2 linked regions of the Oryzias latipes genome follow. The protein of the gene in region 2 purifies or fractionates together with the protein of the main gene of each other region. This does not show direct contact. Links are inferred from orthologs where the notes say so. Each region holds a gene or a part of one and is shown on either strand. Other genes may lie near its edges.

What was found.
Region 1: the proteins of otud6b (region 2) and otub1 fractionate together in Homo sapiens (co-fractionation; 4 studies listed by BioGRID and IntAct, with this or other methods). This does not show direct contact. The link is inferred for Oryzias latipes from reciprocal best matches to the Homo sapiens genes OTUD6B and OTUB1.

What each region holds. Positions count from the first base shown.
Region 1 is NC_019876.2:28,613,364-28,628,832, reverse strand, and holds the start of otub1 (ubiquitin thioesterase OTUB1), read left to right. Parts: upstream 1-4,828; 5' UTR 4,829-4,889; coding exon 4,890-4,932; intron 4,933-5,604; coding exon 5,605-5,666; intron 5,667-10,268; coding exon 10,269-10,367; intron 10,368-10,478; coding exon 10,479-10,597; intron 10,598-14,240; coding exon 14,241-14,325; intron 14,326-15,469. UniProt on the Homo sapiens protein: Hydrolase that can specifically remove 'Lys-48'-linked conjugated ubiquitin from proteins and plays an important regulatory role at the level of protein turnover by preventing degradation.
Region 2 is NC_019869.2:22,470,769-22,486,256, reverse strand, and holds otud6b (OTU domain-containing protein 6B), read right to left. Parts: upstream 9,998-15,488; 5' UTR 9,813-9,997; coding exon 9,743-9,812; intron 8,574-9,742; coding exon 8,425-8,573; intron 8,142-8,424; coding exon 8,043-8,141; intron 7,858-8,042; coding exon 7,657-7,857; intron 7,568-7,656; coding exon 7,447-7,567; intron 7,357-7,446; coding exon 7,295-7,356; intron 7,213-7,294; coding exon 7,106-7,212; intron 7,004-7,105; coding exon 6,919-7,003; 3' UTR 6,464-6,918; downstream 1-6,463. Other genes in the region: ras-related protein Rab-5A, read left to right, coding at 12,402-12,429.

The sequences.
Region 1 (15,469 bases), on a different chromosome or scaffold from region 2:
GTTTTCACTGCCTGGGTGTGTGAGTGTTTGGTGTGGGAGGAGGAAAAGCGTTGATTCTGGAGCCCTTAGTGCACGGGAGGCTTCTGTTCTGTTTACTATCTCTGCAGCAGTCAGTTGAAGCCCGGAGGGAAAATACCTCCCACTGTAGACGATAAGCATTCTGACAGGTAGAGTTAGCAAAAACAGCCAACAATTGGTTTTTCTAGCAAAAATGTCACACAAAACCCCAAACTGTGAGTCAACACCCGGACATGGAGACTCACGCTAGACCAAACACGTCATCCATGGATCTGCATGGTGAAAGTGCAGCCTGAAGTGGGAGGGGCACATTGACCTGAGGTTACTCCGCCCACCTTCGCAATGCTCTAAAAGTAAAACATGGGAAGCACTGACAATCAAAAAGAACATCCAGGAGGCGGACCTTAACATAAAAAACAAAAAGGGTCAATAAAGCCAATAAAGTTTTTTACTCCATTTCTGAGTACTGTGCAGGAGTTTCTCCGACAGCATCTTTGTCACACAAAAACCCTGAAACTATGGAAGCATTTCTGTAACACAATTAAAAATAAAAGTCAATACCAAAAATGCTTTTTCATTTTCAAAATGAAGCTGCGTTTGTTGACTCAAAATTAAAATGAAAATCAATCCGCCAAACTGGTTTTTCTGCCTCCATCCTGCAAATGCTGACTGGCATTGAATTATCCTACACTTTTTGAGGGGGAGATGTGAAAACGAAAATGCAATCCCCTCTTTGCATTTTCGCTTTAATTATGTGAGAGTAAGCAGTGTTGAAGTGGAAAATGAAAAAGCATTTAGGAGGATTGATTTTTCATTTTTATTTTGACTCATCTGATGCAGTTACATTGTGAAAATGAAAAAGCATTTCTGTTGATCCATTTTAATTGTCAAATAGATATTTATAATTGAACTTTGCTACACATTTACTAGAGAACTTTTTGACAATGAAATGTCAAAAACCATTTTCTTTATCATTTTAATAAGTTACAAAAAGAGCGGTATTGAAGAAGAAAAAGAAAACTGATTTGGTGGATTGATTTTTCATTTTATTTTTGAGTCATTGAATGCAGCTGCATTTCAAAAGCATTTCTGTTGCTGACGTTTATTTTTAATTATGCTACAGAAATGCTTCCATATGGATCCAGTTGGGAGGGACATCTGCTGAGATGCCCTCCGGATAAACTCAGAGCTCAATGCAAAAAGAAACGCTAGCGTTCAGGTGGACGCCAGAGATTTGGGTAGAACATGTTTGAGTGATGATAGTTGTCTCTTTTTAAACCCAAAATTACCTTTTTTAGGAAAAGAGTCATTTGAAAACAACAGATTAAAAGAAAAAGATTGTTTTAGTTTTACCTGAAGCAGCCTAATAAAAAAAAAAACAGAAGGAAAAAGTTAAAAGAAGAATCTTGATTTCAGGTGAGCGGGTATGTCTCAGACTGCACAGATAAATAGTGTCACCATTATTAAACGATGGTTTCGTAGATGGGTTTACTACGGGAATAACTGTTTGTTTAAAGAAAATAAGTGCGTTTAAGCAAACAAAACCTTTTCACTGTTTATCAGAATTACTTTAGCTTGGTTTCCTGTTTCCCACCTTTTGTGTAGCGTCTTGAGAAATTCAGCTTTAAGGCCGTGTCATAAAGCTAATATGTACATTTTGCACATTTTACACGGATGAAAATTGGTCATGCGTGAATAGATGTGGAAACAGTGAGAGGGGTTGTGGGTTGTGTCCGAATTCCTTCTCTACTCACTATTTAGCGCGTTCCCCATTTTGTAGTTCTGTCCGAATCTACAATTCCAAAATCCAGTGCTCTAGAAATGTCCCAGAAGTCTCTACGAAAAACCAGCGTGCATTGATGCTCACTAGATTGACGAATATAACCCTCAATGCATTGAACGGATCAATTTTTATAATTTTTAATAAACCATCAACGTTTATATCTTTAGAAGACTCTGGGCTCATAAATAATCGTCGCAAAACGCTCATATTTATTAGATTTTAACTTCTTGAAATGGATGACATCCTATTTGCCATTTTAAAAGTAGTGCGGGTATAAAACAGGTATAAAAAATCATGCTTTTTTGGTTATTTTTGTGTGAAATGCCCAAATAAAAAATGGGAAAATAAAACAATGTTTTCACTAAGGTGACAGTTGGTTTAGTCGACAGACTTGATGCTTTTGTGAGGACATTTATGCTAAATGCAAAAACATCTGAAATATGGAGAAAAAAGGTCAAAGCTGGTGCCCAATTTAGAAAGAAAAGAAAAGAAAAAGAGGAGAAAAGAGACAAAGAAAAGGGTAATATAGCATAGCTAGATGCACGTTTTCTAAATTTGAATGCTACCTGCCCTACAACAACAACAACGTTGCAGAGGAAAAATCTCTTGTTTGGTCTATCATGACCAAAACTGAAGTAGGCCCAAATATTTTAAATAACGTCATTTTTAAGATTTTCTTCTTAAATGTTTGCTCTGCCTTAACTTGTAACATTAGTTATGATTCGTGTGTCTGTCTGCTGTGTCACAAAGTTTTTGTTGTGTTTTACTGTTGTATATTAGTTCATAATGTTAAATGAGCTGTGATGGTAGCATGCTGCTGCTGCTGCTGCTGCTGCTGCTGCTGCTGCTGCTGCTGCTGCTGCTGCTGCTGATGCTGCTGATGCTGCTGCTGATGCTGCTGCAGCTGCTGCTGCTGCTGCTGATGCTGCTGATGCTGCAGCTGCTGCAGCTGTTAGCTTTTCAAAACTCCAGTTGATCAAGTCATACCTGAGATCACCAAAGTCTCAGGAGCAACTCACTAACCTGCTGTTGTTAGTATCAATCATTCAGTAGGGAAGCAGATTTTATATGATTTATTATTGACAAACTTGCATCAAGGAAGGCCACAAAGGTTAGGTTTTAGTTAGTGTTTTCTGTTCTTAGTGCTGCAGTTACATTTATTCTAGTGTGTTATTAGTGTGATTTGTAGTTTATAATATTTATTTTAGATTATTTATTTGTGTTTGATTAAATATTTCCTAACGGTATTTTTGCCATGCTGATAGTCTTTTAATTTTTATGTTCCTATAACTGTTATAATGCAGTGCAGAATTCTGATAAACATCTTTTTTTTTATATCAATTTCTTAGTTTCAGTTACAATAAATGGACAAAGTGACTCTAATGGGGGGGGGGGGGGGGGGGGGGGCAGAGGAGGGTCTCGCCCGGGGAGTAATTCAGGGTAGAACCGCCACTGGTTAGGGGTTAGGGTGGGAAATCGGACAGAGCCGTGGTCTTTACGTGAAATTTTCACAGATTTATCATGAATAAACATGTTAAAAAACACGAAAAAAAAGTATAATCCACACAAAGAAGACGTAACCCAACGTGGAACATGAACCGTTAATGATTATTGCGCTAATTACATGCAGTTCATTAGTGATTCAGGCATCAATGATGTCATCTGAACGTGATCTGTGCGCCGTGTACGTGATCTAAAAGTTACACATCAGTGGTTCATGCATGAAAAGTCTGTTAGACAAACGTGGAACGCTCCTGGAAAGACACACATTTGTGTATCTCACAAAAATCACACGTAATTGCAGAAGATTTATGTAATAATTGCGTATAAACTACGTAAATTGCGTAATTCTCAACCGACCAAAAATTTTTAACAGAACAAAACTGAATTCACGTTAAAACCCGTCGTCTGAAACCCTCGAGGGACATCTGAACACATCGACAAACGCAAGAAACATTTATGAATGACGTAGATCAGTGGTCCCCAACCCCCGGGCTCCCGGATATCTGCCCGCTCCGGGGGTCATTTGGGGTCATTTGGTACCGGGCTGCAGAGAAAGAATATATAACTTGCATTACTTCTGTTTTATTTATTTCGGAATCTGAAAGATGTTTTATTTTGAAAAATTGCCCAATTCTTTGGTACATCAGTCTATGTCATTTTTGACGCATTCCAAGGCGCTCTTCTCGGTCACGTGTTAAGTTACCGCTAAAATAAAATCCAGGAACTAGCAAAATGAGTAAAAAACAAAATGTCTTTGGAAAGTTTCTTTGCCGAGGGGAAAATGCCCAGCCAGGAGAAAGAAGAAGAGCCTTCAACTTCCAAAATAAGAAAGCTAAATTTAATAGACAGTACCTTTTTTTGCACCACGAGAGTGTGGGAAGGGGAGATGATGATGAGACCTGTGCGATGTCAACTTTTAAGCGAGTCAAACTAAAAGCACAGAGTTCGTCTTGTCACGTATTTGATCCTCCCTCATCCTAGTATTGCTACAATAATCATCCGCCTATACTTGAAATACCGGTCCGTGAAAGTTTGTGTGATGTCATACCGGTCCGTGGCATGAATACGGTTGGGGACCACTGACGTAGATCACGCATGGATCACGGAGGACTGAGATTTCATACACTGAAAATGCACAAAATGTACGTGGTGGTTGTTTGACACGACCTTAAGACTACAGCTTTATAAATTAAGTGGGGGGGGGGGGGGGTTCCTCCTTTTTTCCAATTTATAAACGGATGGTTTCATAATTTGAGAAGTCCAAGTCTGTGAGGACGTCACATCCTCAAGTAAAAAATAATTTGTATTTTTGTTTTATTTTTTCTGTACCTGTCAGAGTTTTTGAGTGAATGGCGGGTCAAATTTAGGAAGAATTGTGAGACAAAAATGGTCTTTTCAGTCCAGGACAAAGTTATTGTTCCGGTGACACTATTGTTGTTTCTCCTGTGTGTGTAGTATAAAAAAACAACAACAGTTTGTGTTGACTTTATCGTGTTTGTGTGTTTTAAAAAGAGCAAAGCGGCCGCCCGGAAGTGCGTCATCGCTGAGGTCATGAAGAAGGAGGAAACAGATTTCCACAGCTAAGATGGCGGAGGAACAGCAGGAATCATCACAGGGAGAGATGGAGGGTGAGAGGAGCCCCTGTGGCACGAAAAACCCCGCGTGCCGACCTGTCAGTTCTGCCGAACATCCGGACCGGATGTGACCGGAGCTCCGAGCGGGATGATGTCCGCCCGATGCTCCGGTAGACTGAAGTGTAAACGGGTCGCAGCTGCTCGGCTAACGATAACCGAGCCACACAAAGGAAACGCTGTAGTGCAGCGGCCGACCGATAGCCCCCCTCCCCCAGTGCCAGAGCTCGATGAGGACCCGTCGGAGGCCAGAACCCATGCAGACTCTGCAGGACGGATGTCTTTTCGTTGATAATTAGTTTTGTTTTGACGCAGCATCATCATGAGCTAAACCCTTTAGCTGTCTGTCTGTCTGTGTCTGTCACAGAGACAGACAGACAGCGGTACCGGTTCTGATGGGTTCAGACGACATCCAACTTGTTTTTGAACCCTCATCAGCATCCTGTGCTGCTACCCTTTGACTCGCGTTTCGTGAGTTTTTTTTCCCCCAAAAACGCGCGCGCCGACTTTGTTTTTATTTCCCAACCAGTGCAGCGGACGATGCAGAGACGATCTTTGAATCTGCTTTGTACTTTGGAGTGGCTCTAGGTTCTAGAGAGTTCTGTGGTGCTGTTGTTGTGGCTGCTGCTGCTGCTCTCAGGTAAAGCTAAAAGCGCTCGTGTCTTCCAGGTGTGAACTGCCTCGCGCATGATGAGGCCATCATCGCTCAGCAGGACCGGATCCAGCAGGAGGTGAGGAAACCCCATCACTGGACCGGGCTCAGATGCTGAGCTCGGTACTGGTCTGATGTCTGTGATGATCACGTCTGGATCTTCACGTTTCAGAGAGTTGAAGTTTAAGAAAATCTTTAAATGGAATGAGGAAAACTCTAGATTTGCCATTTTAGTGATCTATATTGCGTTGACGATGGAACTTGCAATACATGAACAAATAGCAAAACAACCGAAAACATTATTTCTATTCCACTGCAACAGTTCATTTAAGTAAGGGCCAACATGCATTATACTTAAAATGACACTCATCTACATAGGAGGCAGAAATTGACATGAAAGGGCTCCATCCGATTGGTCAACAACGTGAATGCGTCCAATGATTGGTCAACAACGTGAATGCGTCCAAATGCTTGGTCCACAACGTGAATGTGTCCATCCGATTGGTCAACAACGTGAATGCGTCCATCCGATTGGTCAACAACGTGAATGCGTCCATCCGATTGGTCAACAACGTGAATGCATCCAATGATTGGTCAACAACGTGAATGCGTCCAAATGCTTGGTCAACAACGTGAATGCGTCCAAATGCTTGGTCAACAACGTGAATGTGTCCATCCGATTGGTCAACACTGAATTTGTCCAAATAATTGGTCAACAACGTGAATGCATCCAAATTCTTGGTCAACAACCTGAATGCACCAATGATTGGTCAACAACGTGAATGTGTCCAAATAGTTGGTCAACACCGTGAATGTGTCCATCCGATTGGTCAACAACGTGAATGCGTCCAAATGCTTGGTCAACATCGTGAATGAGTCCATCCGATTGGTCAAAAACGTGAATGCGTCCAATGATTGGTCAACAACGTGAATGCGTCCAAATGTTTGGTCAACAACGTGAATGTGTCCATCCGATTGGTCAACAACGTGAATGCGTCCAAATAATTGGTCAACAACCTGAATGCGTCCAATGATTGGTCAACAACGTGAATGTGTCCATCCGATTTGTCAACACTGTGAATATGTCCAAATAATTGGTCAACATCGTGAATGTGTCCATCCGATTGGTCAACACTGAATTTGTCCAAATGATTGGTCAACAACGTGAATGCATCCAAATGCTTGGTCAACAACGTGAATGTGTCCATCCGATTGGTAAACACTGTGAATTTGTCCAAATAATTGGTCAACAACGTGAATGCGTCCAATGATTGGTCAACAACGTGACTGCGTCCAATGACTGGTCAACAACGTGAATGTGTCCATCCGATTGGTAAACACTGTGAATTTGTCCAAATAATTGGTCAACAACGTGAATGTGTCCATCCGATTGGTCAACACTGAATTTGTCCAAATAATTGGTCAACAACGTGAATGCATCCAATGATTGGTCAACAACGTGAATGCGTCCAATGATTGGTCAACAACGTGAATGTGTTCATCCGATTGGTAAACACTGTGAATTTGTCCAAATAATTGGTCAACAACGTGAATGCGTCCAATGATTGGTCAACAACGTGAATGCGTCCAATGATTGTTCAACAACGTGAATGTGTCCATCCGATTGGTAAACACTGTGAATTTGTCCAAATAATTGGTCAACAACGTGAATGTGTCCATCCGATTGGTCAACACTGAATTTGTCCAAATAATTGGTCAACAACGTGAATGCGTCCAATGATTGGTCAACAACGTGAATGCGTCCAATGATTGGTCAACAACGTGAATGTGTCCATCCGATTGGTAAACATTGTGAATTTGTCCAAATAATTGGTCAACAACGTGAATGTGTCCATCCGATTGGTCAACACTGAATTTGTCCAAATAATTGGTTAACAACGTGAATGCATCCAAATGCTTGGTCAACAACCTGAATGCGTCCAATGATTGGTCAACAACGTGAATGTGTCCAAATAGTTGGTCAACACCGTGAATGTGTCCATCCGATTGGTCAACAACGTGAATACGTCCAAATGCTTGGTCAACATCGTGAATGAGTCCATCCGATTGGTCAACAACGTGAATGCGTCCAATGATTGGTCAACAACGTGAATGCGTCCAAATGCTTGGTCAACAACGTGAATGCGTCCATCCTATTGGTCAACACCGTGAATTTGTCCAAATAATTGGTCAACAACGTGAATGTTTCTATCCGATTGGTCAACAACGTGAATGCGTCCATCCGATTGGTCAACAACGTGAATGCGTCCAATGATTGGTCAACAACGTGAATGCGTCAAATGATTGGTCAACAACGTGAATGCGTCCAAATGCTTGGTCAACAACGTGAATGTGTCCATCCGATTGGTCAACAATGTGAATGCGTCCAAATGCTTGGTCAACAACGTGAATGTGTCCATCCGATTGGTCAACAACGTAAATGCGCCAATGATTGGTCAACAACGTGAATGCGTCCAAATGCTTGGTCAACAACGTGAATGTGTCCATCCGATTGGTCAACAACGTGGATGCGTCCAAATTTTTGGTCAACAACGTGAATGCGTCCAAATGATTGGTCAACAACGTGAATGCATCCGAATGATTGGTCAACAACGTGAATGCGTCCATCCTATTGGTCAACACCGTGAATTTGTCCAAATAATTGGTCAACAACGTGAATGTGTCTATCCGATTGGTCAACAACGTGAATGTGTCTATCCGATTGGTCAACAACGTGAATGTGTCTATCCGATTGGTCAACAACGTGAATGCGTCCATCGATTGTCAAACGCATGAAGGGATTTATTTGATTCTTTAAATACTTCAAGCTGCCATTGTGCACGTTTAAGGTAACCATTAATCGCAATTTCTGCAGACTTTCGCGATATGCGTATTGCACAGCTTGATATCGTGAAAATGATCCTTTTTTTTTCACTTGAAAAGTCATTCAACCACAATGCATTGTGGTGTATATTTGCAAATGTAGATGGTGTCCAAATTCCTTCATGAAGCACTACTCGATGCACTATATAGGGCGTTCCACTTTTTTTATTGGTGGGGGATTCCGAATGTACAGTTCCAAATTTCAGTGCCCTGGAATTTCTTTCTACGAGAAATTAGTAGGCATCGATGTTACAAGATTGGCCAACGTAAACTACAGTGCAACGCTTCTTTGTTTGTAGAGAAAATGTTTCAATTTTATTTTTATAAACTGTTCATGTTTTCATCACCGTGGATTAAAATCTTTTTCAAGGTCGTGTCACACAGCCGAGTACTTTTTGAGCATTTTCCTCGTATGAAATGTTGTTCTTTCTCGCCTTCGTCGTTTGTCGATATGCATAGGTGTCCGTCGAGGGTTTCAGCTGATGGATCATTACGTGAATTTGGTTTTGAGTTTAAAATTTTGAGAATTATACAGTTTGTGCCTGTTGTACACACAATTATTACATAAACTATAATTGTGCTTGATTTTCGCAAGATGCATACACAAATCTGTGTCTTTCAACGACTGTTTATCTTATGTCTAACATACTTTTTATGCATGAACCACCGTTGTATAACTTTTATATCACCAGTGACCAGTTTTCATCCGGGCTATATCAATGTACATAGTGGCTGTGGGACACAGGCTTTAATTGTTCATATTTATTTATGAGGTTCTTGCTTCTGGAAATCGGTGATGTCATAATAATAATAATAGTCAGCGTGGAGTCTGAATTGCTGTTTAAAACTTCTAGATAGTTTTTAAGTGATAGCGGAGAAATCTTCCCACAACAGAGAAAACACTTCCCAACTAGCTAGCGACATGAACATCAGTGAATTTAGAGGCGGCCCTTCTTGGTGCTTTCCTTTATGACAAGACACGAATATGGACATTAACGTCTGGACAACGTTGAGTTATTGTTCTGGCTGTCCACTATTTCAAGAGTTACTGTATCGTGATTGCACCAACTTGTTTTGGGAGTGAACCGAGCTGTCAGAATGTTGGTTTGTATTCTATTCGTAAAGTTTGACAAACTGACTTTTCTGACTTTTTCGTTGACCTTCCCTTTAGCGCAGCATCATCTAGTGCAGTGGTCCCCAACCTTTTTGTTACCGCGGACCGGTACAACGCAAGACACGTTTACCGCGGGGGGGGGGGTTTGAGGCACGTTTACCGCTGCCTATTAAAGGCAGATTTCCCTCTTTTAGGGGGTGCAGGTTCCTCTTCTGTCCCTTCATTGGACCGTTTCCCCTTGTCAAAGCAACTTTCTAAAGAAGTTTGTTTTTTTGCTCATTTTGTTTTTTTGTGTTTAATTTTAGCGGGGTGTATCACGTGATGTTTGGTGTCGCGACTTTGACGTGCGTTAAGTGTGACGGATGTAACAGAGAGAATCCGGTCACTTTTCAAAATAAAACGTTTTTTTCTCTCGAAAAAAAGCAATAAAATGGAAATTATTTTTTCTTTCTGTGCGTCCCGGTGCCAAGTGTCCCGCGGCCCGGTACCGGTCCATTGGTGCCACTACACCAATTTCTGTTCTATGCGACTGTTTTTAACAGTTTTAAAATAGGCCATTCTTTGATGGTGCGGAAAAATACAGTAGAACAAAAGCATTTGTGTGAATCCAAACCTGTAGTAAAAGTTGCAGAGAGTCTCTCAGTGCAAACACAAACTGTGATGTGTGTTTGTGTGAGTGTGCAGATCGCCAACACGAACCCCCTGGTGTCGGAGAGACAGGAGCTGTCGGTGCTGCAGAAAGAATATGCGGAGGACGACATGGTTTATCAGCTCAAGATCAAGGTCGGTGGGCTCACGCATCTCCGCCTCCGTCTTCGCTCTCCTTACATTCGGTTTACTAATGTTCCAACTGCCGCATAGATTTTAAAATTACGCCCTTTGATGTCGTCGCAGGATCTCCACAAAAAGTACTCTCATATTCGGAAGACACGGCCTGACGGAAACTGTTTCTACAGGGCCTTTGGTTTTGCACACCTCGAATCCCTGTTAGAAGACAGCAAAGAGCTTCAGAGGTTAGTGTTTTCTAAAGGACCGGTTCTGTCTCATTGGGTTCATGATGTGCTGCGTTCTCACCAAACGACAAGTTCCAAATTGGCTGCTGGACGTCTTTCCAGAAATGGGTTAATAAAGGTGACGGTCGCGCCATGTCCTGCCGATCTGACAGTTTGCATATTGCCCTGACAAAATTCACCTGTGCGGGTCAGAGAGGAGAGGCCTGCCCTCTAATTAGAGTGCCATCAGTTGTAGAAAAAAGGAGACCTAAAACGACAAAGACAGAGGATATGGGAGTCAGAGAGGAGGTAACTGAAAGAGGCTCCAACTCTCAACCCCGCTTCCACAACCTGAAAGACCGACATCGTTTCAGTGGAAGCCCGATTGGATGCAGCATCCACCAAACATCTGCTCCAAACCTGGATCCAATTTGCTGCACAACAAACCGGACCAAGAAACAAAAACTCTTCAAAGAAAACACTGAACTTATCTTCTAAAACAAGAAAGACTGTTGGACCGGACTCCCTGTAAAAGGGACTGGATACAGGAAACAACGGCCCCAGAAACCCGGGACGGATTTCTAAGGAGTACCTGGACCGACATTTTAGATAGATGGATGGATAGATAGATAGATAGAATTTATTCCAGACTCATGCTCCAATCAGTAAAAAGGAGTACACAGACCCACTACATTTAAAACAAATACACAGTGTCAAGAATACACAAGTTGAGGTACAGTGTATAGTTACAGTTAATAAAAACGTTAATAAAAAATACTTGATAAAAATAAATTGATTAAAAATGATAAGAATAAATACAAAGATAAAAAGATTACATATACATACCACACTATAAAAACCTTAATTACAATGACAAATAAAAAGACAGTCCCTCCAGTGTTTCCATAAATTTGACCGGAAACATATGGGACTAAATCTAATGTTGCTTATAGCCAAGATGAGAGTATTCTCTGAAGCGTTTAATCTGCAGATAAATTTGAACATAAGCGAGCGCATGCAAGCCCAGAGAGTTTTAATTCTGAGAGAAATGAAAAGCTCACTAGCACTCGTCCTCCTTGGCTTATTTAAAAGCACTCTTAGAGCATCATTGTACGCCACCTGCAGCTTTCTCGTACTGGCACTTTTATAGTTCGCCCAAAGATGAGCTGTATACAGAGGAGTGCAAAAAGCTTTAAATAATGTCACCTTGACTCCTTCCGTACACATACCAAACTTTCGAGAAAAAGTGTTTGCTTGGCTGTATACCACACGACACTGCCTGTAGATGTCTGCGTCATCTGACAAGTCTTCTGAAACGACATGCCCAAGATACTTGATCTTATTAGTACACACAAGCACAGCATTTGACAGGTAAAAATCATTTAATCCTCAAACAGGAGAACAAAAGGTACCCAGAGGAACAAGACTGTGTGGCCTTGCATTCTAGCTTCCTTTGAGCAATGCACATCCTAAAGAACAGCAACAATAAGAGTTTAATACGTCAGGAGAGAGACCTGACTTTTCCTCAGGAAAAGTCATCCACAAACTGTCAAAATGTGTGGGAGGAGCTACTGTCCAATTATTTTTAATCCTCAACGTTACAGAAGCATTGACTGTTTATCTCGTTCACAATGCATAGAAGACATGAATAGCCGCGTTTACATGGGCAAAAGTAATCGGAATGAACGCCTGATCGGAAAGAAAATGCGTCATGTAAACGCGCCATTCAGAAAACTCTGCCCCGATCAGACTCGTTCGGATCAGAATTTCTTTCCGATCGAGATAGGTGGGTTATACCGATCGTTTATCCTATCGTGGAGCATGTAAACGGTCATTCCGATCGTGTGTCACTACTGCTCTGGTTTAAGTCACGCATAGACGGTGTTTCGCTGAGAGAAAAGCATTGGAGCGCATAGGGGACCGCTCTCGCCCCGCTGGCTCTCCCGTCTCTTTCACCCCTCACGAGGGAGGTACGGGGAAGGAGCTCTTCGTGCCCCCCGACGCTCACTCGGTACACTGGCACCCGAGTGAGCAGAGGAGCTGGGTTAATAACTCCGTGTCTGAGGGGAGGAGGATGCTTGTTCGGTGTGCGTTTTTTTTGTTTTGTTTTGTTATGTGTGGGAGAATTCAGACTGCGAGGCGTTCCGCCGCTCTGGGTTAGCGGCTGAAGGACTCAGGAGAGCCGCCAGCTCACGCAGCCAGTTTGGGGAAGCAGAAATAAATGTCGCTCAGTCCTTTTCAACACTACTGCGCATGCCCAAATGATTCATTCCAACCGAAAGTGTGAGCCATGTTCTAGTTGTTCTAATCGGAAAAAGGTTTTCTGATCCCATGTGAACGGTTGAATTTTAACCCGACCATTGATCCGATCAAGATATTCTGCCCATGTAACCGCGGCTATTGATGTTTTAGCGATCAGGCTGCTTTATTTTGAAGAGCTTTACTTAAAGATCGGTAATTCTGTCTCCATGACTGGATTCATGGCATCATTCAGAGATTCTCCCGGTTCGGCGAGCTTCACTGTCTGCTGCAAGAGCGGCGTCTGAACGACGGGCGATTTCAGCGGTACTTCCGTCTCTGTCACCCAGTTTGACAACTCGCCGTCCCGCATTCGTCCGAGGAGAGAAGAATAAAAATAAAGGATCTTTTTATTATTGATTCCATGTAAATAAAATCAAACATGTGGCGACCCCTGATGGGAGAAGCCGAAAGTGGAAGAAGAAGAAGGAGAACCTGAACTCCACCCACTGATTACATCAACACTTGACTGGTCAAAACTGAGTTCCTGATTGGTTGACGCAAATTTTTCACCAAAGTTCAGATTTTTTAAATCTGAAAACACTGAGGCATAAAACCAAAAAAAACCCCAGATTTCCGGCCGCAGGTGCACCAGTCTGCCTCCACAAAGTTAAAATATTTGCTTTTGTGGCAAACCAGAAAAGGGTCTGCACCACATTATGTGGTAAGCTTTCCCAATGAGATAATCCTTGCACATTTATTAGGGCGGGCTTTCTGTTAACCAATCAGAAGATGGAATAACTTTATTAGGGCCCCAAAGGGGAGTTTGGCAGGGGCAGTTCTTTGAGTTGAGTTCCTGACATTCTCCTAAGTCTCTGTGATTGGTTAACTGGGTTTTTATGCCCCGCCCTAATATTTGTTGTAGAATCCTCTCCTCAAAAGGTTGGAACATTTGTTTCAAAACCTTTTTTTGGGTGTAGAAACATGTTTTTGCCAGCAGGTGGCAGACCTCTGCAATCTTGCTTGTTATACCATGGTTCGGGGGAATTCTCGATTATGATTGGCTGCTGGGTGTGCATGAAAAAGTGACAACCCCATGACTAAAATAAAAGTTCCGGTCACATAGCCTAAATGTTTGTATCACTGCGCCGGTTTCTTTAAAACAAACTTAATTTTCATCTTCTGGACAAAAACATGCGGTAAGAGGTGAACTTTCTCTCTGAACTGATGCTTTATTTAACACATCGTGATCATCGGCATATATATATACACATCACTTTCCTTTGCTGCCTGTAAAAGGGATCGCGCTACACATTTACCTCAACAGTTGGAAGCCTCTTTCTTCATCGATTCAGTGTTATAACTCATTTATGTTTCATTCATTTTTTCTAATGAACTCCCGTTTTTGCGTGTTGCACGTCTGCAGGTTCAAAGCGGTGGCCGCCAAAAGTAAACTGGACTTGGTTAATGAAGGCTTCACCGAGTTCACCATTGAAGATTTCCACAACACCGTAAGTGTCCCACTGAGCCCTGGGTCGGGGTGACTGTCCTAAATATCTTCCCAACAAGCTCTGCTGTTTTTAGAAGATTTTTTTTACTGTCTAACTAACGCGTGTGACGGACGGACATGTCTGATGTTGAAAGGAAACACTGTAAACCAGGGGATCTCAAAGCGCGGCCCGTGGTGGGCTAATGGGGCCATTGCTTGGGATAAATAGTGCTTCATGGTTTCTGGCGACATCTACAGGAAAGAAAGATCATCACACCCGGGTGTCAATGGTACAGTGTATTAATTTTACCACAAGAGGGCAGACAACATTTTCTATGCCACTGCCTGTGTGGAGAAAGGATGGACCGTGAGGACGGCAGTGGAACCGGAGGATGAGCAGGATTCAGAGAGCCAGAGCGGGTTTCTTTGAGGAAAGCCAGTTGTGTTGGCAAGGAGAAAAGGTGCTTTCAAGCTGAATGAACAAATGTTTACTTAGTCGTACCTCATGGGCTGGATAGAATCGTCATGTGCCTGATGTAAAGCACCATTTACTACAACGAGGCTATGCTGCACAGCAGATAATGTTCACAAAAATGGCTGAATCCAGTGAAGCTGTATCAGAAGCTAGCTACGGTGTGGCTTTAGAAATGCCGCGGCGTAGCAAGGAGAGTTTGAATGCTGAAAGTAGCTGACATTGTCCAGAGCAACCGAAAGTTTTTGAGACAATAAGTCTGTCAAATGATACAAATACTAGAGGAGTAGAAGATCTGGACAGCAACCTCCTACTGCAACTGGGAAAACATCTGGAGGTTCTGGTTAATTGTACAAATGACATTAAAGTTTTTAAAAACAACTTTTTCTGTTTATCCATTTTTTACTTCACCACAATTGGCCCCCAGTCTAATGTCGAGTTCTAAATTTGGCCCTCCATTACAAAAATCCTGAGAACCCCTGCTTTAGACACTCCATGATCCGCTGACCACTGACCAGTGGATCAATGAGTCCACTAAAGTCCTAGTCAGTGGATCGTGGAGTGTCTACAGTATCTCCTTTTGCATTCTTTGTCTTATTGTTTTTTAACCACATACTCTTCTGCATCCTGATTGGCTGTAGACTTTGTCAGTCACTCACCTCCATCCCTGTCGTCCTTAAGTTAATGTCTGAGA
Region 2 (15,488 bases):
GCCAAAATCAAATCAGGAATTCTTTAGAAATTCACCTCTGACTTGTGGGAGGACTGTAGGTGTGGAAGTAAGCTTCTGCTTATTTCCCATGATTCCTTTGTTTACATCTCTCCCAATAGCTTACAGACCCTCACAACCTGACATTACCGGTGCAACAAAAATGACGAGCAATATTGGAGCTTTCCAGCCGTACAGTTTAGAGCCAAATGCCAGCTCAGACGAGGAAAACAAAGACGTATATGGACCTATTTGTCTACAAGTGGATGCATCAGAATGGGGGAGAGCAGGGAGTTTTTAGCTTAGTGATGGTAGCTTATACGAAACAAATGCAGGCATATTTTGTCTTCTCCTAAATCACAACGTTTTAAGTAATGAAAACTCAGAAATCCATTTTTAAAGTTATTTTCTTCTTTCTATTAGTCCTACATCATGAGAAAAATGTTACAAGAACATGCTAAAACACCATTTTCATTCAAGTAGGGCTTCAACAGCTTTTTTACTTCTTATCATCATCATCTCATCACTATATCACTGTAATTCCACTGCTAGTTCCAAAAGGTATAGCAGTGATGTAAGGCAGACAGTAACTTCGTAAGGTACGGGATGCTGTAACTTTTGAACAAGCGATAAATAATGTGCCACAGTTTGGAAGAGTTCAGTGCTGTTTAAAGCTCTATGGTTTGATGCATTTGACTGTGGGGTTTTTTTTAAGTGTAGGAAACCACTGACAGCATCACTTAACTAAGACAAGCTATAAAAACAAAACAAAAAAAAACATAAAAATTTGTGTCCAGAAAAACCTTATTGCTTGAATCAGATGCAGAGCTAGACCATATAGGGGGAGCAAGAGTGGGGACAGAAGATTTTGGAATGGGGGTGAATGAGAACAATTCAATTCAGTTTTATTTGTATCGCTCAATATTTACAATAATAATCATCTTGATGGGCTTCATACTGGCAATTGTTTAATAAACATGAATCAAAACGAACATAAAGTCATAAAATACAATAGCTAATGGCTAAACTAAACAGACTAAACTAAACTGGGCATCCCTGCCCTTAGACTCTCCTTCGCAGAACAGCAGAGTGGAAGGATGCCGGGATCCAAAATACAGTTTTACAACAGTTTGATTATTTTTTTTTAGCTGAGGTGCTATTTAAAAACCTTGTTTTTGTTGTTTTTCCAATGCTTAAAGAAGCTTGTATTGTTGATTTTTTTTATTTTAATATTTTTATCTTTGTCTGTCAGAAGTCAGAACTCTGTCTCCTCCTCTGGTCACCAGCAGGAGCAGTCTCCAAAGCATTGAAAGCACTTCATCTCCCAGCAACCCCAGCGTGCACTTCCTGGACGCCACACACCTGACTCTCATTCACTCAATCACTCACAGTCTACTTAAGCACTGCACTGAGCCTCGCTCAGTGCGAGCTATTGTTTGAGACATTCTGCCTTCTTTAATGAGTGTTAAATCCAGACCTGAGCTTTTGTCTCCTGACCCTGTTTCTGACTCTGTTTGCTGTCCACCTGCCCTGACTCTTGCTTGGACTCTGACCACCCTGTCTCTTCTCTGATGATCTTGTGCCTGTTAATGACTCCTACCTGCCAGACCCTGATTTCGCTTTATGGACTTTTAGCTGGGCTAATAAACCGCTGCATTTGGATTCAGACGTCTGCCTGTTCTTGCGACATTGTCAATATTGACACTAATATTTACTCATGTTGGGAGCAAATGCCCCCCCCCCCCCCCCCCCATAGCTCCAACTCTGGCTTGAACCCTTTTTGCATACTCCTGCCTCCATGGCAACCACTTTTAACATTAAAATATCAGAAATGCAGCAGAGAGAACGCTCATTTTTCTTTTTTTTCTGAAAAGTTTTAAATTTATACTGCAAAGTCTAAGTTTCAGTCAGACCTCTGTTTTATTTCAGCACTGAGGTGTGTTTCATGTTTTTTAGCAGAACAGATGAGTTTGGAGGAACTCAATCCACACTCATAAGTCTGAGGAAAACTCTTGGAGTGTTGAACTGTAACAGTACGATAAGGAAAAAACATTGGTTAAAAAAAAAACACAAACAGCCCTACTTAACCAGCCTCACCTTATGTTCTTGTGTCATTTTCTTTATGTTTTTGTTAAATGAGTGCAAATGAACAATGGCACCTTAGGATGGGATTTAAAAAGCTTTTTGTTGTTTTATAAAAGAAGTTTGAGTAGAAAAGAGGCAAAAAGAAAAAAAGCTTCACTCCACCAAATGTCATCAAAGTGACTGAAGACGTCCATTTCCATCACCATCCACTCCATCTCTCCCTCTCGTTCATTGTTGTTGCCTTTTCCCTTTAAGTGCACTTTCGCCCACACCACTTGGAAATTGATTGAAACAAAATGTCACAATTATGCCCTGTAGCTTGCCGCTTCAATTATTCATCAATTAGGGGGTAGGCTGCTTTTTTCTTTCCTCTGAGCTGATTTTTCATTCAGTTTGCTCGAGATGTATGGCTCCCCTGCTGTTAACCAGTCCAAAGTCATTAGTTTCTGGGTTTGCAATTAAACCTGATGCATTATTCATGAAGCTCCGACTCAGTAGACGCATGCCGCAGCAGTGGCTGCAGCAGCTACAGAGTCAGCCGGTAAGCTCTGGAGGCTCGGATGAGAAATTAATTTCAAGCAAGCAATGAAGTTCTCTCCATCCTTCCCTCTCTTCATCTATCTCTTGTCTAGAAGGTTGAAACAGATGCTGCTAGCTGCTGATGGAAATAGAGATGGGGCAACTGAGGAGACAAGATCTTCTGTCATTTACTCCGTCTGCACTAGAGGGGTTTCTCTGAGAGCCCCAACACTTGGTCTGCCTGATATCGTAAGGTTTTAGGGATTACCTGGAGTTTTAATGGGAAAAAAACATGCCATAATGTCCTTAAATAATACCTATTTAAAAATAAATTATCGTTTTTTTTCTTTAAAAAAAGGGCCCACTTTTCAAGTCTTTTACTGTCACGAATCCTAAAATAGGCCAAACATCCATGTTCCGATGCTGCCACCTACAGGCCACAGAGTGAAGTAACATGTGAAAAGTAAACCAAAGCTCAGAAACTGGAGCTTTGCTGCACAAATGTTTAATAACGTGTCCAACTTCAGTTCCAAAAATCTCCTGTTAACGTGAATGAATAATTACTGACTGTTGTTGAAGAAATGAATGACAACTAAATGAGTTATTTTATATATTTTGACTGATACAGCCAATTGGAAGTAAAGATAATTGGAATTACAAGAACGGAAAGCTCGTCAAATCTGCTGAGAAACAGATAAATCATAGGAAAATCAAACATTGTGATGGTTATAAAGATTCCAAACAGCAAAACTGTGTTATCAAATTGATGATCAGGCGTGAGGATAAATCAAAATAAGCCTTCAGAAATGACAAAAACACATTTACCTGCTAAATCAGACGGATTTGTCAGGTACAAATTAGTTCTCCTTTTATCTTAAAGCTTTTTTTTAACACAATTTTGTCTTTCTAAGTTTATACAAGTATTGTTATCGAAATGTTTGTCATTAGTGTTTGTGGTGTATCACTATTACAGTAAAAACGTGTGTTTTTTTGCAGATGACTCTCCGTTTTCCTTGCAGGTTTCAGTAGGCTGTTACTATTTTGTGTCATTTCAATTTAGTGGCCTCCATAACATAATACTGCCACCACCATGCTTTAATGAACTGGCGCCGACTGATCAGTGTCCATGAGGATTCAACCAATGTTAATATCTAAAGATATTCCGTTGTTCCGTTGTAAAAAGTCAAAAGATCCTTGTTTCAAGAAAGAAAAAAATATTTTTTGTCTTGCAGGAAAAAGAATATTATCAACACAGATTATAAGTAGCAAAATAATCTTATTCTTAATGACTGCAATTTTTTTCTTAAATTAAGAATTCTAGAAAAGACCATTTGTCTTACTCCACTGACTGATTTTTTTGCTTATGTAAAGAAATATGTTCAAATTTTTAATAATTTTTGGATTATTTTGGCTTACAAAATACTAGCTTGTGGACACAAAATTCTAACTTGTTTGCACAAAATTACAAATTGAGTGCATAATTTATGATTTTTTAATGTCCATGGCTCCATAAAATACTGTGTCTTGGGGATTGTTCATTATGTTTCTATTTAAATTGAAAAGAAAATGCATTTAATGAAGTCAAAATAAAAGCTGTGCTTTTGCCTTAACCTTTGTGTTGTATTAAACCACGCAGCAAGTTGAGACGAGGGGGACGACAAAAGATATTCTATTGAGATGCAAAGAAATGTCTTTGTGTTTTGTGCTTTAATTTTCATTTCCCTTTCAAGTTTGGCACTTCAGTCTTTTGAGCAACATTCCAGAAAAAACGGCAAAGTGGAAACAGAAGCAGAGTTGAATTTTTAAAACATTATTGCACACTTGTGCTAAATTAGCCTTATGATAAATTCTCAGAAAGAACCACAAAGATTTTGTTTTGAGTTTCATTCAAAAATTGAGCTTTAGTGAATTTAACTCTTGTGCTATCCTAGGCACTTTAACATTGGGAGTTGGGTCATCTAGATCCACTAGACAGTGCTCTGAACCTTTTTTCTTCAATGATTTGTGATCTTCACTGGTGTCCATGGATTACATGAAATCTTTCCACCTTTATCCACCTTTGTCATGGTAGGAAGAACACGTCAATGTAAAGGTGGGGTCTTTTAAGATAGCACAAGTGTTAAATCACTTCCTTTAAGTGTTTTTCCTTTTTTTTTTTCGTCCTTATAGGAGGTTTTGGTGACTTTCATTTTATGCTTAAAATTGTTGTAAATAAAACAAAAAATTAATTTTATCTCTTGTTAACAGTTGGAGAATCCATCAGTCTTCATCTTGCCATCACTCACACCTTTTTGTCACAATTACTGCAAGAAAGCATCACTGGATCACATCATGGAATTAATCAGGTCTGATTTTGTTTTTTTGTTTTTTTCATTTTGGGGTAATAATAAAAATAGTCTTGTATTATAGATGCATGAAAACCTTTATAAATGTAGATTTCAGAGGGGAGATGATAGTGATTATGCTAAAGTCGTGTCTTACAGTACCTGTCGCATCAGGTGGCCCTCCAGTCGTTCAGCAGCTAAAGTTTTTGAAGGACTCCAGATGGCACCGAACAGTTGGAAACTCCTTCAGGTCATTATTCCCCCCCCCCCCAAATCAGTTCAACCATTTGCAGGCAAAGCGTGAGGCAGCAAAGCAACCCATTTAATCACAAATCTGTGTGATGAGTAAAACAGTTCAAGGACTGTCGTGGCAATTTTCCAACAAACAGTCAAGCTGAGAGGGAAATATACAGAAACGGCTTCAACTGTTGTTAAAGGAGGAGCTCGGCGGGGAGGGTTGATGGAGTTGCTGCTCAGTGGAGGATGGCCAGGGTTGTTGTTCTGGAAGCAAACCTGCTACCTCTGGTTTTAAAATATGCTATGAAAAAACAGAAGAAAAAAACAAGCTTTCTGAGCTTTTATTCAAATTCATGGCGCTTTCTTTAAGTCACACAGGCCATGTAGAGACACACTCCAATGAAAACGGTGCTTTTTTTTTTTACAGGTTCCTGTAGCATTTTTCTGATGACGGAGGTCGGAGGACACGTTTAAAGAAAATTGAAGTTAAGACTGAATTTATCTTTTCAGATTGTGATGAATCAGGTAAAGATGTCATTTGAAAAATATATTTTTAACAATCTTATTATCCTAAGTACTGTGTCACTTTCAAATTAAATTGGGTTTTGTGGGATTTAGAAAATAAAAGAAACAATTTATAAGGAAAATGTTTTAAGCTCCTAATTAATTTGAAATTGACTAAAGATGAAACAATAATAGACAGTTCCACACTCCCAACATTGTGGGAACAGTTTGGAGCGGCCTCTTCCTCTTCCAACATTACTGCACCAGTGCACAAAGCAAGGTTCATAAAGAAATGGCTGACAGAGTCTGGTGTGGATGAACTTGACAGGCCTGCACAGAGTCCTGACCTGAACTCAATAGAACACCTTTGGGGTAAATTAGAGCAGAGATCGAGTCAGGCCTTCTCCACCAACATCAGTGTGTGGCCACACCAATGCACTTTTGGAAGAATGGTCCAAAATTCCTATAAACACACTCATCAACCTTGTGGACAGCCGTCCCAGAAGCGTTGAAGCTGAAATAGCTGCAAAAGGTGGACCGACATCATATTGAACTCAATGGGATGACACTCCAGTTCTTATGTAGGTCAAGGCAGGTGAGTCAATAATTTTGGTATTATATTGCATACATATATATATAGAGTGATACAGAAATATGTATCTATATATACTGTATAGATAAATGAGAGAGAGAAACAGGACAGACAGAGTTCTGCGTTCTATAAAAGCTCAATTTTGAAATAGGCACATGGACTTTGACCAAGAAATAAAACTATTTAAAAGATTAACTCAAACAAGTGTTTTTGGATCCATTTAATGTGTTTTAACAGCAAACCACTGACAAATTCCCAACTTTTTGTGGAGCTTGGAAAATACAGGGGCCTCGTTTTCTTTTATCTTAAATTTGTTCTTAAAGCAGCAACCGACATTTCTCAGGTCTTTATTGTGACTTTGTGAGCTCTATTGACACCTTAAAAGGTGGCGTTTACACCCCATAATAGGATTTAGCCTATAAAAGAGCTGCGACCCACTCTACTAGTTAGAGGGGCCGTGAGTTTGAGACCTGGAAGAACCACATTATGTTTGTGCAGAACACTAGCCTCCATGCTGTTACTGCCAAAATAATTTCCTTCTGCCTAATATTTAACATCAAAATCCTGCTGTGTTTATTAATCTTCCCAGAAAAGGAGCTCCATGTTTTCAAGATCCTCATCAGTCCTTTGAGCTGTGACACAGAAAACCTCCGCTGGCTCTCAGCTCTCCTCTGCATTGGCCGGATTCTTCAGAGGCTCCACGCTGTTGTAATGCTCTCCCAGGCCGTAGGCATGATGCATGTACCTGCAAACAATCAGGAAGACACGTGATTTCAATTAAGGTTTATAGGCATTTTGATAGGTTTGTGTGATGGATGTGAGATTATTATAAAGCAGATCGGCTTACACTAAAGTGATGGGTTCGGCGTCGTATTCCTCCCCGATTTTTAGAGTGGGGGAGTCGGCCTGAATCACTTCGATGGGCAAGCGGAGAACGTGGGTCAAAGCCCGGAGCTTCAAAGAAAAAAAAACAAAAGATCAGATGAGTGAAAAGGGCAGTTAAACGTCGACACCTCCAGATAAGGAGCACCATCACCTCCAGCTGCCCTCCCCAAGCTGCTGTGTGCTCCACCTCACTGCAGTACTTCTCAAATTCATCTGGAGGGACAGAAACAGTTCAGATCTGCATACTTACAGCGGGATGACAGGTTTACTTTGTTCTGTGAAGCACAGCAGACGGCGACTTGCCTGTCGTGATCGTGTCCCCGGTGGTGGGGTTGCTGAGGAAGGGCAGGAAGTTCTCCGGATTGTTCCTCATGTGCTCAGCAGTGCGGGACCTCAGCTCTTTAAAAGTAACGTTCAACCCTGGCTAGGAAAGACCCAAAAAATCAAAATGATCCCTTTGCTGACAAACGGGGCGTTTCCGATAAAAGCATCACGCCGACGGAAAACATGCACCTTGGACCTCTGCGTCAGCTGATCCTCCACAGCGCGGTACATGCAGTGGCCGTCGGAGGAAATCTCCTTGATTTGAAGGGTTTTCTCAGCCAGTTTCTGAGCCAGCTTCACGCCCTCCTGGTGCCTCACACCCTGGAGATTCTGCACTTCGGCCTCTGCGATCCTGCTATCCCTCTCCTTCTCCTGAGCTGCTTTCTTGTCCTGGAGGGTGTTTCAATAAAGTCGATCCATTCAAATGACAAGAAACAGACATATAGATCAGTCAGATGGCTTTCTCAAACTTGGAGAATTCAAAAAATATCTAAAAAGGGCTGCAAACAGGGACAATTTACCCCCATTATTCATATGCGGTAACAATCCTATACAAACTTCAGGTCATCACTCACCCTTCTTTTCTGTGCTTTTGTAACTCGAGGCTGTTTGACCTCCTCTTGTTCTCCAGCTTCTACTTTTAAAGTCTCCACCCCATTTGCAGCCTCCTCCACCTTCAAGATCAAGGAAGAGCAGCAGCGGTCATGAAGCTGAAGGCTGCCGCCGTACAGTTTATGAACCAAAAGCCAAAATTATGACATGTTCAATAAATGCAAAGCATTTTCTCTGCTTCAAAGGAGGAAAAAAAAATCCCATGACAAAATCTTTACCTTTATAAAAAGGAAAAACATACAAAAAAAAGATCAAACTATACACTTAATTAGCAAAAATACAGTTTAAAAAAAAAAGCATAAAAATGTGTTCAAATGTACCAAATTAAAGTAAACCAGCTCCTACATCTTTGTCCGGTGCAGATTTAAGTTGCTGGAGTTCATCCTCGTGTCTCTGACTCAGGTCCGCCTCCAGCTTTGCGATGTCTTCTGTCAGCTGTTTCCGTCTTTTCTTGTCGTTTTTGGGGACGGCATTTTTCATACTTTGGATCTTTGCTAAAGAAAAATAAAAACAAAATGAATAGATGAATAAAATCAAGCAGAGAAGAAGACAGGTTAAGAACATAACACAAATAGCAGATCACAGCTCTCAGGCAGTTAGAAATAGAGGCTCAAGAGGATTGTTTTGTTTAGAACTATGACTTCTGTTGGCTGCCAAACAGAATTGTTTTGGGACCGAATCATGATAGGTGCATTAAGAGCTCACAAAGTGCATCAAATTTCATAATAAAAGTCTGTTGTCTATTCTATCTGCCTTTACTTTGCCAAGCTCTGAGAAAGTTCCTCATTCATGGTTAGTTTATTTTATTAGTTGCTTTGCACCTTCAGATCAAAGTGAGCTACATGGAGTTTTATACCAACCACTATTTGACTATTAAAGGGCAAAGTCAGCAGCATCTTTATTTGGTTATTTTTAAACTTTGAATCCGTCTGAGTATGCATTTTCGTACTGAATCGAGTGTGTGGGTGTTGAATCGATTTTACTAACGATTGTCTCTGCTCTGAGTTCCAACAGCACCAGAAGCTCCTACCAGAAAAATAAACTCTTTTTGATCTGATCGTTTGTTTTTCTTTTTTAACTTGATATTTTGTATTTCGCATTTCATTCTCACCTTTTTATGAAATGTGTTTGAAAATTTTCATGACTTAAATACTTCTTAACTTTTTTGTCTTTGATCTCAAATGTGTGACAAGATAATTTAAAAATAAATAGGAGTATTTATAAATAAATTAATTCTCCTAATGTGTTTAGTCCATTATTGTGATGTCAACCTGAACCACTGTGACTTTACAATCAGATTATATGAATTTCATAAGGTTAAAACAATTTTATTCTGTATTTAGAACTGTGTTGTATTCTTATATTGTATTTTTATAAATGATGATTTTTCTTATTGTTATACTCTGCAAATGTTCAATAAAAATAATCAGATTATTTGAATTTTTGACTATTTTTTTAATACTTAATAGTAAAATCATTGAAATGTTAAATAAAAAAATAGAATAGGAGCCCTTTCTAACTTTCTGTGATGGAGTAAAGTATACAAAATATCTGCACGTGCTGCTATACAGGAAAATACGCTTAAATCACAATAAACCTGAACTTGAGAGGAGAAGTGAAGCTAAAGCTTTGCAAACACGTGAAAGCAGGTCATGTCAGCTACCCTGCAGGTCCTTCTTCTCCTTCCGGTGCTGCTTGATCAGGAGCTCCTCTGGCGTCTCCACCTCCGCCATCGTTCGCTGCTGGTTTTTCCTGATCCTCGAGTCTCTTTATCCTACAGGAATCCACCTGGAGATACTCCTGCACCCCGGCACATTACTGTACCAACAGCGTAAACATTAAGTAGTAAAAAAAAAAAGAAAGTTGACTGTCGATGAAAGCAATCGTAAAAGCCCTCCGGAAGCTACATTCGAGCAAATGCTGCAGATTCTTATTCGTTTGAGCTTAAAGGCGGGACGTGGAGCTACAGTGACACCTGCTGGCGCAGTCGTGGTAGGACAACCTTTCCCCCTTCAACACAAATAAAAAACATAAAAGTAGGACTATTTGGGGCTCCCAGTGCTATTTCTTTACTTTTATCGTATTCATAAAAAGTTTCACATTTAACTGTTAAATTGTTCACAAGAAAGAAAATAACAAAGAACAAAACAAAAGATCCAATAAGTATTGTCTGACTGCAGCATTGAATATTAAAACTGTTAGATTGCACAGTCAACTTGTTCCTACCACATTCTTCTTCATTAATGCTCATGTTTAAAATCCTTTAATCAGAAAGCCTGGATGCAAGAAAGGCTTTTAGAAATGCATGGAAATGTTCATTTGCATCTCCAGTAGGTCTGAAAACCCTTTTAGTTAAAAAAACCTGGAAGTTATAAGGCCAAATAAAAATTAAAACTATTAATTTGTTTGCTATAGGAAATTATTTTTGTCTTTTTACTGAAATTTTGTCTTTTTACTGCAATTTAATATTTCGTTGGGAAATATTTTACTTTTTAGCGCATCCCTTGGCTTTTTCCTGCATCCAGACATAATTAAGAAAAAAATATGGAAAAAAAATAAAAAAATATTGAACAATTCTAGATCTCATGGGAATAAAGACTTCGAATAAATTGCCTTTACACTATTATTATTATGCGTTTTAATAACTTAAAATTATTGTTTATTTTCATCAGTATTTCATTGCTGTAATAGTAGTAGTAGTAGTAGTAGTAGTAGTAGTAGTAGTAGTAGTAGTAGTAGTCTTCTTTCTCTTTCGGCTTTTCCCATCAGGGGTCGCCACAGCGAATCATCCTTTTCCACCTCACTCTATCATGAACATCTTCTATCCTAACATTAGCCAACTTCATGTCCTCTGTTAAGACATCCATATATCTCCTCTTTGGCCGTCCTCTTGCCCTCCGGCCAGGTAGCTCCATCTCCAACATCCTTCTACCAATGTATCCACTATCCCTCCTCTGAACATGTCCAAACCATCTCAGTCTGGCTTCTCTGACTTTGTCGCTAACACAGGCAACATGAGCCGTCCCTCTGATGTACTCGTTCCTTATCCTGTCTAACCTGGTCACTCCTAAGGAGAACCTCAGCATCTTCATCTCTGCTACCTCCATCTCAGCCTCTTGTCTCTGTCTCACTGCTACCGTCTCTAACCCATAGAGCAGAGCTGGTCTCACCACTGTCTTGTACACCTTTCCTTTGAGTCTTGCTGGCACTCTTCTGTCACACAACACTCCTGACACTTTCCTCCACCCGCTCCAACCTGCCTGCACTCGCCTCTTCACCTCTTTTCCACAATCCCCATCACACTGAACTGTTGACCCCAAGTACTTAAACTCCTGCACCTTCTTCACCTCAGCCCCCTGTAACCTAACGCTTCTACCTTGATCCCTCTCGTTCAGACACATGTATTCTGTCTTACTACGACTGACCTTCATGCCTCTTCTTTCCAGAGCAAACCTCCACCTCTCCACCTCCAAACCTCCAGTAGTAGTAGTAGTAGTAGTAGTAGTAAAAACAGTCTTTACACTGGCTGACATACATTAACACCAATAATAATATTAATAATAATAATAGAAGTTCAGGTCTGGCCGTAGTTATTTTGAATGTTATGTGCGAATAGGCACTTCCTCATGATAATGCAGTTGATTTTTCTAAGGCTAATGTTTTCAGCACAGAAAAAGAAGCTAATAAATGGATGATGTGTAACCAAAATGCACATTATTGCATTGCTCCCACATTTGTAAGACCGTCTAATTTTGCATTTTGTTGTTGGCCGCACGTTTTTATATTTAACATTAAGTCCCATTAACTGCCACGCTCCTAGTTGTGTGAAAAGTGTCTTCCACATTTGATCCATCCCGTGAAAGTGCGGTGAGCTGCATAGAAAGCTCAGCTCAGGAACTTTTCCTCTAGTCTAGGTCCGAAAATTAAGTGCGAATAGACACTTGCTTTTGATAAATGTAAATTTTCCACTTTTCAAAATACACCATTAAAAAGGTTATAAGGCCGAATCCGAATTCTCCCCCTACCCTTACGGCTTCCCCCAATCCATCAATTGCATGGGCATAGATGGGTTGGGCTGTCCGCAATAATTGCTTTAGGGCTAACCCTCGCCGCGGAGGGATGCCGAGCCCACCGCGGTGAGGGTGTTCCGCGTCGTGTTGTGTGCAGCGGAGGAGAAGCGCGTTTCCGAATTTATTTTTCACGTTTGCATAAAATGACATTTGTGAATCGGAGCGTCACGTGTGCATTTGTAAAACAGGTTGTGTGCATTTCTGATTATTGAGACTGAAATAACTCCATACGTTTCTTCTCGTGGGTGGCAGATGCACAGAAGTTTACATTTAAATGTAGGTAAGGAGTTTTTTGTTTTAGCATGACCTTTTAAAAGCTGTAAAGCCAATGTTATGTCGTTCCGAGCGCTGGCAGCTCCGCGCTTATGGCAGGCCATTTTAACATCAAAAGGCTAGCTGACCGGCGACTATTGATGACGTATTCGAGTGGGAGTCGCGTCCGAATAACACAATTTTTCTACAATTCTCTGTTTGAAAGGGCTAAATGTATGGCTACATGGAAGAATTCGGATTCGGCCTAGGTATAGCATTTGAATAATAAAGTTGCATCTTTCCATCATCACATTGCGTTCGTGGTTAATTCGTCTTCTGAGTTCTCCGGTAATCACCATGGAAACGCCGCTGGGCCGACGTGATGTCTGACGTGGCACGGAGGCCGGAAGAGCTTGTTAGTGTTTTGGTTCTAAGAGGAAGTTGCGAGAATAAAGAAAGGAGGAGACGTGACGCGATTCTTTAAATTGTTTTTGTTGCCCCCCCCCCTCCCAACCAACTTACCGTTCTGGTGCCTGACGGTCGGCGTGTGAAAAAAACTTCAGCGGTGCCAATAAAAGTTCCGTGCGTCGTCTGGCTCTCAGGTAGCGCGCCGTTGTTTGGACGGCTAACGTTTCTTCATCTGTTTGGGACTCCTTAGCCAGCGCTGACGCTAGCTAGTTCTGGCTAATGATGCTATGTTTGACGCCTGCGGGAACACAGCTGAAACACTCCCGTTGAGTACAGCTTTCAAATTTAGTTGATTAGGGGAATGATGAGAATAATATAAACCAACGGGGTTAGTAGCAAGTACGGCTAATCGTTTTAAGCTGCTAGCTAAATGGGTGGGTGGGTGAGTTGCTAGCTGTGCTAAGCTAACCTAGGTAAATTAAGCAACTCCTCTACATCTTAAAACTGTTGTCAGTAAACATTTAGATAAGATAATTGGAAGTATGCATTGTTTGGATGTTGTTCTTGAAGTTGTGTGCTCTTTAAAAGTGGTCAAATAATAGATTTTGATCTTGAAAACATATGTGGTTAGTGGTACATCAAGCTACATTACACAAGAATTTAAGTTAAAATGCGTCCAAGCTAGCTGCAAGCATTTACAGTATGTTTATAGTTGACAGATGACGTCTAAACCCAAATTTAGCGCACTGTATGCATGGCGTGTTTGTTGACACTAATCCTCAAATGTGGGTAAACGGAGAATATTCTTGCTGAAAGTTGGTCTACAAAACCAATTCCGTAGAGTCCTTTTTTAGATGTCTAGATTTAAGACTTTCAATGGTGTTCTGGGTGCCTGGCACATTTTGACTGTATTATGGATTTCTATGTGATGATAGTGAGTGTAAACACAGCTAATGTGGGTTTATTTAGTCTAGTTTATTAGATTTCCATTTAAAACAGGTTATTGTTTAAACTTGTAACGTAATGAAAAATAACCAGGCTTGATAATTTCAGGTTAAAAAGCTGTATATATATTTTTTTATTGTTGCTATTTTGTCCCTTGTGGAAGCCTTCTTAATTGCATTTCTGCATTCATATCTGGTTATTGACTATGAATTTATTTGATTGTAAGCTTTGTTTTCGTCTAATCTCATTAAGGAAGAGCCTATTTACCATGTTGGCACATATCCTTGAACTGACAGATTAGACTCAGGAGGCAGATCACTTGCCAGTCGGTTAGTTGTTTTAGAATTCTTGGCAAAAAGCCTGATCTTATGAAGCTCTGAAAGATTCATCGGCGGATATTAATGAAACTTTTAAGTTGCTGTAAGTAGAGCCGTCAACCAACTAGCTTAGTCCAAACCGTGTTTTGTTTGAATATATCTGAAAGGTTATTTTCCTATCGATTCTCATGTTAAAACTGTTGGCTATGAGGGAGGCTGCCCTTTTTAATATATCGCACTGTAGACTGGCCACACATTTTTTAGTTCATTTCACCGATGCTCTACCTGTCTGTTTTTAACACTAACTATTACTTTGTAGTTGGAAGTTTTGCTTTTATATTCTTATTGTTATTTAACATTTTCTGCTCTGAGAAGGTTTTGTATCACATTCTTTTACTCAGTGAAGCAGCTTTAGTGGTTTTTAAATGTTAGAATCAGTTCCAATCAAATTTAATCCTTAATTGTTTTAACATTCTTACACATATATCAATACATGTCAGCAACGTTTTTAACATATGGTGGAAATAATATTCTTAGATGGTTTGAATTTTTGCTGTGCTAACGTAAGTAAACCTTTTTCATAAATATCTAAAATATAAGTCAGGAAATACTCATTTGTAACAGTTTGAACCTTTTTCAGCCAAAAATAATTATATTTTTACCATTCCAATATTCTAAATTCACCTATATTGTGGGATGACATAGGAGAAAATAGGAATAAATCTTATTCTAAATGGGTCAAGAAGGTTAAATGACTTGCGATACAATGCTGTATCTATCCAAAGTTCAGCTTTTTGGGCATGTTTGTTTGTTTTGGTAAACAAAACAGATTTGAGGCAACTCTGTGACTTGACGGTGCTTATGACAAAGCAGTCCACATCCCTGCATCATTTCTGCTTTATCCACTGCTGGGCTTTCGAGTGAATCATGCCGCCTGAATTCATGGAACAAACTGGAGTTTTGACAAACAAGCCTGCTATGTCCAAAATCTTGTTGTTTTTATGTATCGAACATAAAACATCTTGAAAGAACAGTTCTGTGAAGATGGAGAGGCAGCGTTTTACTTTAACATTTCTATCAGAATTGCCTGTAATTGCAGGGCTGCCCGTTTCTGAGGAAATGACTGTTGGTAAATGCTTGATTGAAAATCTCCTTATCGGCCTTTCTAGATTCAGCTGTTGCTTCTCTATTGTGACACTATAGTAACACATTTTTACAACCTTTTTTCATGGTTGTTTAAACCTTGTTTGTTCAATATATTGAGTTTTTACGATTTATTTTGAATAATTTTATTGATATACTTTATTAATCAGTTGTGTATTTTCCCAGAGAGATGTTTTTGGGTGGTATGAAGCTGTTTTTAAGTTACCGTAATGGTTGTTGTTGTTGTTGTTTTTGGCTTCTCCTCTTAGTTCTT